Anolis sagrei: one gene and its partner. The protein of the gene in region 1 interacts with the protein of each later gene in a pairwise test. Links are inferred from orthologs where the notes say so. Each region holds a gene or a part of one and is shown on either strand. Other genes may lie near its edges.

Region 1 (6,386 bases):
GTGGCCAAAGTACTTCATCTTTGCCTCTAATATCCTTCCCTCCAGTGAGCAGTCAGGCATTATGCCCTGGAGGATGGACTGGTTTGATCTTACGGTCCAAGGCACTCTCAGAATTTTCCTCCAGCATCACAGTTCAAAAGTGTTTCTCTTCCTTTGCTCAGCCTTCCTTATGGTCCAGCTCTCCCATCCAAAGTGGCTACGCGGAATACCATTGCTTTAACTATGCGGATCTTCGTTGCCAGTGTGATGTCTCTACTCTTCACTAGTTTATCAAGATTGGTCATTGCTCTCATCCCACAAAGTAAACATCTTCGGATTTCCTGGCAGCAGTCTGCGTCTGCAGTAATCTTTGCACCTAGAAATACAAACCTTGTCATTGCCTCCACATTTTCTCCCTCTATTTTCCAGTAATCAGTCCGTCCGGTTGCCATAATCAAACCTAGCAGTTCGAAAACATGTAAATGTGAGTGAATCAATAGGTTTAACTCTGGCAGGAAGGTAAGGGTGCACCATGCAGGCATGCTGGCCACATACCTACCTTATGCTATTATTTATAATATTATTTATGTTATTTATTTGTCATGTCAGGGCAACCAGTCAATTATATTACATTTCTAACAGAACAAAGCAAACAAACAGACAAAATACAACATTTGTGAGTTTGGTAGTTGATTAAATGTCCTTTGACCAGTATCTGGCCACTTGGAGTGCTTCTGGTGTTGCTGCAAGAAGGTCCACCATTGTGCATGTGGCAGGGCTCAGGTTGCATTGCAGCAGGTGGTCAGTGGTTTGCTCCTCTCCACATTTGCATATCAAGGATTCCACTTTGTAGCCCCATTTCTTGAGGTTGGCTCTGCATCTTGTGGTGCCAGAATGCAGTCTGTTCAGCGCCTTCCAAGTCGCCCAGTTTTCTGTGTGCCCAGGGGGGAGTCTCTCATTTGGTATCAGCCATTGGTTGAGGTTCTGGGTTTGAGCCTGCCACTTTTGGATTCTCGCTTGCTGAGGTGTTCCAGCGAGTGTCTCTGTAGATCTTAGAAAACTATTTATAGATTTAAGTCGTTGACGTGCTGGCTGATACGCCACAGAAGCGACCAGCATTATTTATGTGTAATAATATATTATTTATATTATTATATTCATAATTATTTATAATAATTAATTTATAATTATTTAGAAGGGTTGTCACCAAACAAGTACCTTTTACCATATGTGGTGGTCATGTAAAGAAATAGAGAAATACTGGTCGAAAGTACATGAGGAGTTACAAAAAATTCTGAAGAGAGTTTTCAAGAAGAAACCAGAATACTATCTATTGGGATTTACGGATTTGGAATTACAATTAGATGAGAACGAAGATAGACTATTTACTTATGCTACAACAGTGGAGAGAATATCTTTGGCGAAGCTTTGGAAAGAGGAAGACATCCCTACCATTGAAGAGTGGTTAGGGAAAATAAGAGAAATAAGAGAAATGGACGAATTAACTTTTTTCTTGAAAAAGAACACCGGGAATCCGATAAAGAGGACAGATTGGACTCTATATGAAAACTACGAAAAGGAAAGGAGCAAATAAGAGGAACATTATGAAGTGGATACAATGGAAATATTACTGAGGACACACCTGATGGAGAGATGGAAGTCAATTTTTATCTTATATATATATATATTTCTTTTTGTGTTTTTTGTATTTTATTTTTTACTGTTTTTTCCTTTTTGATCTTTTGGTGGACTTGGGGGTAGGGGGGTGCTTTTCTATTTTTTTCCTACTTTGCTATTCTCTTTTTTAATATTCACCCTCTTTCGATGTTACTTTTAAAACTTTAATAAAAATTATTTTAATATATATATAATTATTTATAGGTAAATAAAAGTAAAGGTTTTCCTCTGACATTAAGTCCAGTTGTGTCCGACTCTGGGGGTTGGTGCTCATCTCCATTTCTAAGCCGAAGAGCCTGCGTTGTCCATAGACACCCCCATGGTCATGTGGCCGGCATGACTGCATGGAGCGCCATTACTTTCCCGCCGGAGCGGTACCTATTGATCTATTAACATTTGCATATTTTTGAACTGTTCGGTTGGCAGAAGCTGGGGCTAACAGCGGGAGCTCATGCCGCTCCTCAATTTCGAACCTGAAACCTTTCGGTCAGCAAGTTCAGCAGCTCAGCAGTTTAACCCACTGCGCCACTGGGGGCGCCATAATTATTTATAATAATATAATATTTATTTATATTATTTATATTATTTGTCGTGTCAGAGCAACCAGTCCATTATATTACATTTCTAACAGAACAAAGCAAACAAATAGAAAAATACAAAACTTGTGGGTTTGGTAGTTGGTTAAATGTCCTTTGACCAGTATCTGGCCACTTGGAGTGCTTCCGGTGTTGCTGCAAGAAGGTCCTCCATTGTGCATGTAGCAGGGCTCAGGTTGCATTGCAGCAGGTGGTCAGTGGTTTGCTCTTCTCCACACTCGCATGTCGAGGATTCCACTTTGTAGCCCCATTTCTGAAGGTTGGCTCTGCATCTTGTAGTGCCAGAGCGCAGTCTGTTCAGTGCCTTCCAAGTTGCCCAGTCTTCTGTGTGCCCAGGGGGGAGTCTCTCATTTGGTATCAGCCATTGGTTGAGGTGCTGGGTTTGAGCCTGCCACTTTTGGACTCTCGCTTGCTGGGGTGTTCCAGCGAGTGTCTCTGTAGATCTTAGAAAACTATGTCTAGATTTAAGTCGTTGACGTGCTGGCTGATACCCAAACAGGGGATGAGCTGGAGATGTCTCTGCCTTGGTCCTTTCACTATTGGCTGCTACTTCCCGGCGGATGTCAGGTGGTGCAATACTGGCTAAGCAGTGTAATTTCTCCAGTGGTGTAGGGCGCAGACACCCCGTGATAATGCGGCATGTCTCACTAAGAGCCACATCCACTGTTTTAGTGTGGGGAGATGTGTTCCACACTGGGCATGCATACTCAGCAGCAGAGTAGCACAGTGCAAGGGCAGATGTTTTCACTGTATCTGGTTGTGATCCCCAGGTTGTGGGATCAACTTGCTTGCGGTTGCTTCTGGATCGAGAATATTTATATTATTATAGTGCCACTGTACGAAAGTTTCCCAAATAGGAGGGGGAAAACCCCTTCTGTCTCCCAAACATTTTAGATCAGCGTGCGATGCTTCCCTCCCGACGACAGGGGGCGCTCCGGCACCGGTCTCCGGAAGCAGGAAGCCGAAGGGTGAGCAGAAGGCGCTCTATCCTCCGGCTCTGTGGTTTGGAAGCGTGTAGGCCGGGCCTTCTTCGGCGGAAAGCATTATCCCTTTGCGCGCATGCGCAATCCAGCGAGCGGAAGTGACCTGAGAGAGAGGGACGTGGAGAGCGAGCGGGGCAGAGCTTGGCGCTCCTCCGCTCGGCTGCTTCTGCTTGCCTGCCTGCCTGCCTCTCTTCCCTCCTTCGTGTCCCATCTCCCTTTTTTGGGACTACTTTGTGTGTCCTTCCGCGCCTCTTGTCTGTCAGGCTCCCTTCTGTGTCTCCTCAGCCTGTCTGTCTTCTCCTCCATTCCTTTCTGTGATATCAACACCACTTCCCTCAGCCTTCTTTCCTCTCAGGGACTATTGGGGCCTTCTCTCTTTGCTCTGCCTCACTGAGGACTAGACCCTTGAGCCTCAGTCCTATTATTATTATTAATATTGGTATTTAAATTGGCCTGCCCCCGTGTTTGGGGTCTTTGGGCTTTAAACCTCATTCTTATTCTCATTGTTAATATTAATATTTTAATTTATCCCCCCAGTTTGGGGCCTTTAGGACTGATTGCACATCCTAATTACTCTGCCTCGTTGCCATGGGTTCTTCCTGAGGGGAATTATTTTTCTTACTAAGAATACAAATCGTTCTGAGTCACTGGCTGCTCCTTAGCCTTATTATTAGCGATAATAATAACATTGGTTGGCTTTGGCCCTCCTTCTTAGGCTTATTATTATTCATATTGCTATTGATATTGGTCTGCTTCCCAAGCTGTTTGCTTTGGGCTGTTTTTTAGGCATAGTATTAGTATTCTAAATCAGTCCTGCTTCTCTTATCAGTTGGCTTTGGACTATTTCTTGGGCTTATTAGTATTAGTATTCTAAATAAATTCTGCTTTTCTAGCTGTTGGCTTTGGACTATTTATTGGGCTTATTATTATTAGTATTCTAAATAAATACTGTTTCCCTAGCTGTTGGCTTTGGGCTTTCTCTTAGGGTTGTTATTATTATTAGTATTCTAAACCAATTCTGCTTCTCTATCAGTTGGCTTTGGACTGTTTCTTGGGATTATTATTATTATTAGTAGTAATATTAGTATTATAAATACATTCTGCTTCCTTAGATGTTGGATTTGGGCTGTTTCTTGGGCTTATTATCAGTATTACTAGTATTATTAGTAGTAGTGGTGGTATTATAAATCAATTCTGCTCCCCTAGCTGTTGACTTTGGGCTACCCCTAAAGAGTATTGTTGATACGGTTATTGGTAATTTCTTCTCCCTTGGCAATTGAGTGCTCCTTAAGCTTATTATTGTTCATAGTACTATCGATAGATACATTCTGCTCCCTTTTGGCTCTTTCTGAGGGTTATTATAATAATTATTATTAATAACATAGATAAATTGGTCTCCTCCCTTGGCACTTGGTTTTGGTGTCCTCAGGTTTATTATTGTTATACATATCTGTTCTGCTCCCCTATCTGTTGGTTTGGGGCTGCTTCTTAAGAGTTATTATTATTATTGTTATTGTATATCAATCCTGCTTTCCTGGCTGTTGGCTTTGGGCTATGTATTCTTATTGATATTATTATAGATACGTTGATCCACTCCCGTAGCTGGGCTGTTCCTCAGGCCTTCTCTCTCTACATTCCTATATGAAGTAAGTACCGATTTGCCTTTCTTTTTCCAGCCGTGCCTTGTCTTTTTGGAGTGAAACTAGCTCCCTTTTCACCTAAACACAGGGAGAATAGTGTCTGACTTTTTTTTGCCATTTCTTTGTGTGGTGGGAGAAAACTTCCCACTATTTTTGGCCTCTCTTTCTGTCTCATAACTCAAAACACTTGCCTTTCTTACTCTTTTCCTTCTACATTTTTGAGGCAGGAAGAGGAGGCAGCTGTCCTGAGTTTGGCTTTAACCCTCTATCTCTCCGATCCAAGAGCTGGACTCTGCCCTGATCCTTTTCCTTCCTTCCCCCAAACTCTCAGAGTAGCCTTGTCCCTTTGTTTCTACTCTTCTGGATCCAAATCTGTGGTTCACCTGCTTTCTTCTTGATCTCACAATCCCTGTGGACTGATTTGGGGATCCGTCGGAAGCCATCATGTCTGTGGCAGGACTGAAGAAGCAGTTCTACAAAGCCAGCCAGGTGAGAAAAGAGAATATGTCTATATATGTGTGTGTGTATATAGATAGATAGAGATATAGATATAGATTTATATGGCAACTTGTTGTCATGAGCCTTTCCCCCACATCTTAGTAGCCTCTCACGGTGTTTTCTTGGCAAGGTTTGCTCCTAAAGGGTTTTGCCACAACTGTCAGTATGAAGTGTTGTCGCTTGTTGTCACCTGCCATCAACTCTACCTTAGGGTGACTCTATGAATGAGAGGATCCATAGCCATCGGCCTTGCAAACTTATTATTTGATGGAGTTGATCCAATAGTGTGATTTCCCCCATTTCCCACTTCTTTCCACTTTGCCAAACATGGGTTGTTTTCCCCCAAAACATTCCTAATATGACGGCCTTTGTTTAGCCGCCCACTAAGCTACCTTCCATTGTGTATCTCTATCTCAATGAGGTTGGTTCTGGAAATATGGGAAGGGGATCAAGAAAGCGGACATCCATGGTTACCTTTATCTCTGTCTTGATTACACTATGCTCCTTCAGCAGCGAGCACAAAATTGCGCGTATGTCCTTTCCATATTATTCTCACATTATGGCGGGCCTTTATATCTGCTGGTGTTTGGTTCCAGAACAACATCCACATCCATTGAACACTCAAGCTCTATTATGCACAGCAATGTTGTTAAATGATGTCCCTGGTTTAAAACGGTAATAATCAAGATTTGCCTTTAGGATTTTTTGCCCCCAAGCCATGGATGCAGAATCCGTGAATATGAAAGGCCAACTGTATCTCAGAATTAGGGACATCTTTCAGGAGTTTGTTGACTCCTTAAGGGATGTTTGACTGGCTGTTCCCTGGCTACTTAGGAAAACAAGATGCTGGTCTCAATAGCTGAAGGGTTGCCAGGTAGAAGCAAGACCCAGCTTGTTTTCTCCTGCTAAGAAGACTAAAAAAGGAACTCATGGATTCAATTGACCTTTAGGTTGCTGTGAGTTTTCCAGGTTGTCTGGCCATGTTCCAGAAGCATTCCTTCCTGATGTTTTAC
Region 2 (6,386 bases), on another chromosome or scaffold:
TGACATATTTAATAAGTTTTGGTACTATAAGAGGGTTTCGCAAGACCACTCGCTCTCACTGCAACTGTGTAGTAATGGTGAGGTGGCGGACCATATTTTAGTTCTTGTGGACCACTGGTGGTCCACGGCACTCAGGTTGGGAACCACTGTTCTAGAGCGTGGATGCACGCATACAAATATAGCACCTACCTTGTTTTGTTTTGAAAGCAGGCATCCAAGTATCCTATCCCTTGTGAACAAAGATGACAATTTGTGCACTATTTTCCCTGGGTGAACTCAACGAGGCTTGGTATGGAAAAGAACACAGGATACATCTACACTGTTGAAACAAAGCAGCTTGACACCACTATGACTGCCATTAATTTATTTCCGACATTTCTATCTTGTTCCTCCTCAACCCCTGAAGGGAGACTCAGGACGGCTTACATTTGGCAGTAATTCAATGCCACTACATATAACAGAGACATATAATAACTATTAAAACAATTAATAAAACATTCATTAAATCAGTAATGGCTCAATACTACAGAATGCTGAGACTCATAGTTTGGTGAGGCACCAGTCCTCTTTGGTAAAGAACCCGAAAGGTCATATAAAATGACAAGTCCAGTGATATCATCACATTGAAGAGGATAGTTTAAGTGGCATCAAAATTGCATTGTAGATGCCCTCTTAGGGCCCTTCTAGATCCTGGCCTTAATATGCCAGGTTCTGATCCCAGGTTTTCTGCTTTAAACTGGATTATATGAGTCCCCACTGCCAGATAATCTGGGATAAACAGAAAACCTGGAATCAGATTCTGGGATATGAAGCCTGTCTGGAAGGGCCCTTAGGCAGAAAAGGCTAAAAGCCAGATAAAGTTACAACTCCCATAGCATTAGGTCTAACCCAACTGTTCACCCCTTATAAGCTCCTCCCTCAGAAATACACTTTCCCACTATTATCTCATCCAGGGTTTTATCCTTTTTTTTATCCTGTGCATTTGGTTCGCCCACTGTGTTCTATCTCCTCATTATGCTATTTTGTAAATGTTTATTTTATTTTGTTACTTCATGTATCTTATTTTAATGTAATTTTTGTCTCTTTGTATTGTATTTTTGGGTTTGGCCTCATGTTAGCCACCCCAAGTCCCCTTTGGGGAGATGGTGGTGGGGTATAAATAAAGAAGAAGAAGAAGATGATGATTATTATTATTCTGACACAAAACCACAGTTTGTCACAGCAAACGAGATATATGTGCTGGATTTCATAACACAGCTCCAGCTAGAGGTCAGCTGTGACCAGCAGTGCTGCAGAATTTGAAGAGGCACGAATGGAGGGTGAAAGAGAGAAACGTGCCAAAAGGAAGGCGTGTCAAGCTAACCCCGACCAAGACCGCCTTCCACCTGGAAACCAATGCCCTCACAGTGGAAGAAGATGCAGATCAAGAATAGGGCTCCACAGTCACCTACAGACCCACTGCCAGGACACTGAACTTGGAGGACCATCATCCTTGGACTACGAGGGATCGCCTAAGTAAAGTTCATATCACAAAATCACAAGTCGAACACTTCCCAAGCATCTAGGACTGTGTGATGTATTTTTGAATGATGTGTGCAGATCCAAGTAAGGTGGCTTTTTGCAGTTGACAGACTGTGATCTAGTCAATGTTTATTGTTTCCAAATGCCGGCTAAGATCTTTTGGCACAGCACCCAGTGTGCCCATGACCACTGGTACCACCTGTACTGATTTATGCCAGAGCCTTTGCAGTTCGATTTTGAGGTCCTGATAACAGCTGAGTTTTTCCTGCTGTTTTTCCTCAATGTGACTGTCACGTGGTATGAACAATCACAGAAGCGGCAGAAATATACAATGCCAGAAAACCGTACAATAATAATAAAAAAAGGTAAAGGTTGTCCCCAGACATTAAGTGCAGTCATGTCTGACTCTGGGGTCTGGTGCTCATCTCCATTTCTAAGCCGAAGAGCCAGCGTTGTCCATAGACACCTCCAAGGTCATGTGGCCAGCATGACTGCATGGAGCGCTGTTACCTTCCCGCCGGAGTGGTACCTATTGATCGACTCACATTTGCATGTTTTCGAACTGCTAGGTTGGCAGAAGCTAGGGCTGACAGCAGAAGCTCACGCCACTCCCTGGAATTGATCCTGCGACCTTTTGGTCAAGAAGCTCAGCAGCTCAGTGCTTTAACCCACTGCGTCACCGGGGGCCCAAATACAATAATAATAATAATGATAATTATTATTATTATAGCATTGAGCCAGGGCTGTCCAACTTGTGTCAAACTGCATTAATTTGACACCCATAGAAATAGAAGAACCCGTGGGTTGGTTGGTTGGTTGGTTTGACATCCAACCTGCCAACAACAGATGCAAATAAGACCAGAGAGTCGATCAAGAGCTCAAAAAATCTACACCAAGCATGGACAAACTGGGCCCTCCAGGTGTTTTGGGCTCCAACTCCCACCATTCCTAACAGCCTACTGGCTGTTAGGAATGGTGGGAGTTGAAGTCCAAAACACCTGGAGGGCCCAAGTTTGCCCATTCCTGATCTACACTGTTGAAATAATACTGTCTGACTCCATGTCTTGAAGGCCATGGCTGAAGACCACGTCAAGCTACAATTCTCTTGACTCCACGCTTTTGAGCCAGGGCAATTCGAGCGGTTCCAACAAGTGGACGCATGGCTTAATGTACAGAGTGGATACATCCAAAGCGTGCTCTCTCTCTCTATCTCCCACTTGTTGAGCGTTTATCCCGATGGAGACCCCTCCTCCCCTCCCCTCCCCATCTACACCAAGTTTGCCCATTCCTGATCTACACTGTTGAAATAATCCTGTCTGAATCCATGTCTTGAAGGCCATGGCTGAAGACCATGTCAAGCTACAATTCTCTGGACTCCACGCCACTGAGCCAGGGCAATTCGAGCGGTGCCAACAAGTGGGCACATGGCTTAATGTACAGAGTGGGTGCATCCAAAGCGTGCTCTCTCTCTTTATCTCCCACTTGTTGAGTGTTTATCCCGATGGAGACCCCTCCTCCCCTCCCCTCCCCATCTACACCAAGCATGGGCAAACGTGGGCCCTCCAGGTGTTTTGGACTCCAACTCCCACCATTCCTAACAGCCTACCGGCTGTTAGGAATGGTGGGAGTTGAAGTCCAAAACACCTGGAGGGCCCAAGTTTGCCCATTCCTGATCTACACTGTTGAAATAATACTGTCTGAATCCATGTCTTGAAGGCCATGGCTGAAGACCACGTCAAGCTACAATTCTCTTCAGCCTTTGAGCCAGGGCAATTCGAGCGGTGCCAACAAGTGGGTGCATGACTTAATGTACAGAGTGGGTGCAGCCAAAGCGTGCTCTCTCTCTCTCTCCCACTTGTTGAGCGTTTATCCCGAGGGAGACCCCCCTCCCCTCCCCTCCTCTCCCCTCCTTGGTGGACTTACGATCTCCAGGCAGATGAAGGCCCCCGAGTAGGTGCGCAGGATCTCCAGCCCCGAAGGGAGGGTGATGCGAGGTGGCGGGTAGTGGGCGGTAGCGGTGGGAGGCGGCGGCATGGAGCCCCCTCCGCCGCGGGCAGGGAGCATGGCGGCAGGGAAGGAAGGAGGGAGGGAGGGGAGCAAGGCCCGGACGTGGCCTCCGACGAGGGAGGCAAGCAGGGAAGGTGAGAAGGGAGAGAAAGAGGGAGGAGAAGCGCAGGTGGAGGAGGGCGCCTTTTGTCGGGCGCCGCCCTCTCCTCCGCCACCGCCTCCTTTTCTCCTCCTCCTCCTCCCGACGCTACTTTTGCTCCCACCTTCTAATTTTTTCTCACCTGCTCTCCCTCCCTCCTTGGCCTTCTCCACACCTGGATCTCAGGAAGGCTCCCCACAAGGGTTATTGATTTCTGTGCTTACTCTATTTGTATACCGCCCTTCTCAGCCCTCAGGCAACTCAGGGCGACTGACAGAGCAACGGTTCCATGCCCAAGAACATCATAAAACATTTAACACATTGGGTTGTTGTAGGTTTCTCCGGGCTATATGGCCATGTTCTGGAGGCAATTTTTCTCCTGACGTTTCGCCTGCATCTATGGCAAGCATCCTCAGAGGTAGTGAGGTCTGTTGGAAGTAGGAAAAATGGGTTTATATATCTGTGGAATGACCTGGGTGAGACAAAGGACTCTTGTCTGCTGGGGCTAGGTGTGAATGTTTCAGCTGATCACCTTGATTAGCATTCAATGGCTTGGAAGTGCCTGGGGGGACTCTTTTGTTGAGAGTGATTTTATGTGCCTGTTTGTTTCCTCTCTGTTGTTTTGCTGTTGTAATTTTAGAGTTTTTTCTAATACTGGTAGCCAGATTTTGTTCATTTTCATGGTTTCTTCCTTTCTGTTGAAATTGTCCACATGCTTGTGGATTTCAATGGCTTCTCTGTGTAGCCTGACACAATAATCTATATAAATAATAAAAGTAATGTTCGTTTGTGGGATTAACATAACTCAAAAACCACTAGACGAATTGACACGAAATTTGGGCACTATACCCCTAACAGACCAATGAGTGACCATCATTCATACCCCCCCCCCCAAAAAAAGTGGAAAGGACTTAAAAACCCCAAAAAGCTAAGTGACGAAAAGCTAAATGATGATACAGGGTCATTTAGGGAAGGAAGAGGGAGGAAAGGAGAGAAAGAAAGAAAGGAGAGAAAGAGGGAGGTAAAGAAAGATGGAAAGAGAGGAAGCATGGAAGTAAAGAGTGAAGGAAGGAAGGAAAGAGGTAGAGAAGGAAGAAAGGAGAAAAAGAGGGATAAAAGAAAAAGGGGGAAGGAAAGAAAGAGGTAGAGAAGGAAGAGAAAGTAAGAAAAAAGGAAAGGAAGGAAAGAAGTAGAGAAGGAAGAAAGGAGAGAAAGAGGGAGGGAAGGATAGAAGGAAAGACAGAAGTCTGGATAGAAGCAAAAAGCGAAGGAAGGAAGGAAAGAGGTAGAGAAGGAAGAAAGGAGAAAAAGAGGGATAAAAGAAAAAGGGGGAAGGAAAGAAAGAGGTAGAGAAGGAAGAAAGGAGAGAGAGGGAGGGAAGGAAAGAAGGAAAGGCAGAAGTATGTATAGAAGCAAAAAGCGAAGGAAGGAAGGAAAAAGGTAGAGAAGGAAGAAAGCAGAAAAAGAGGGATGAAAAGAAAAAAGGGGGAAGGAAAGAGGTAGAGAAGGAAGGAAGGAAGGAAGGAGAGAAGGAAAGAAAAAAGGGAGGAAGGACAGAAAGAGGGAGCGAAGGAAGGAGGGAAAGAAGAAGAGAAATAGGGAGGGAAGGTTGGCCACAGCAGCGCGTGGTGGGTAAAGCTAGTACATAGTATAAAACCAAACAAAAGTAATAAAAACATAAAACATTTGCACCTCCTAGTTTAAAACATTATCCATCTCGTTGTCCAGTGGTTCAAAGTTCCTATATCTTTTACACTGCATTTTCCGGAATGTTAAGAGGGAGGGCCCCCCGATCTAATGTCTGTAAGATGGGCGTTCCATAGCCGAGGGGCCACCATTGGGAAGGCCCTGTCTCTCATCCCCGCCAAACATATTTGTGACTCAGGTGGGATCGAGAGCAGGGCCTCCTCCAGACGATCTTAAAGTCCTAGCAGATTCATAAGAGAAGATGCATTCAGACAGGTAAGTTGAACCAGAACCGCTGAGGGCTTTATAGGCTAAAGCCAGCACTTTGAATTATGCCCGGTAGCAGACTTGCAGCCAGTGGAGCTGGCGCAACAGAGGAGTTGTATGCGCAATCTGGCTGCCGTCCATTGGACCAATTGAAACTTCCGGACAGTCTTCAAAGGCAATCCCGTGTAGAGCGCATTGCAGTAGTCTATATGGGATGTAACCAGAGCATGGACTACCGTGGCCAAGTCAGGCTTCCCAAGGTATGGGCGCAGCTGGTGCACAAGCTTTAACTGTGCAAAAGCTCCCCTGGTCACCGCTGAAACCTGAGGTTCCAGGCTCAGCGATGAATCCAGAATCACACCCATGCTGTGAACCTGTGTCTTCAGGGGGAGTGTAACCCCATCCAACACAGGCTGTAACCCTATGCCCTGTTTGGCCTTGCAACTGACCAGGAGGACCTCTGTCTTGTCTGGATTCAATTTCAATTTGTTCACCCTCATCCAGACCATCACAGCGGCCAAGCAGCGGTTCAGGACCTGAATAGCCTTCTTAGTAGCAGGTGGAAAGGAGTGACAGAGTTGGACGTCATCTGCGTACAGGTGACACTGCACCCCTTACGATGCTTGCAAAGAAGCTGCTCTAATGTGAGACAGACAATGCTGCAGTTGGAGGAGTAATTTATTGGTAATTATAATAAATTAATTATTATAAATTCATAGAATCATAGAGTTGGAAGAGACCTTGTGGGCCATCCTGTCCAACCCCC

What was found.
Region 2: the proteins of SH3GL1 (region 1) and MAL2 interact in binary tests that used the Homo sapiens proteins (3 or more experiments, as listed by UniProt). The two-hybrid records come from large-scale screens. The link is inferred for Anolis sagrei from reciprocal best matches to the Homo sapiens genes SH3GL1 and MAL2.

Annotation. Positions count from the first base shown.
Region 1 is NC_090034.1:56,224,888-56,231,273, reverse strand, and holds the start of SH3GL1 (endophilin-A2), read left to right. Parts: upstream 1-3,310; 5' UTR 3,311-5,319; coding exon 5,320-5,364; intron 5,365-6,386. UniProt on the Homo sapiens protein: Implicated in endocytosis. May recruit other proteins to membranes with high curvature.
Region 2 is NC_090024.1:22,145,264-22,151,649, forward strand, and holds the start of MAL2 (protein MAL2), read right to left. Parts: upstream 3,704-6,386; 5' UTR 3,586-3,703; coding exon 3,445-3,585; intron 1-3,444. UniProt on the Homo sapiens protein: Member of the machinery of polarized transport. Required for the indirect transcytotic route at the step of the egress of the transcytosing cargo from perinuclear endosomes in order for it to travel to the apical surface via a raft-dependent pathway.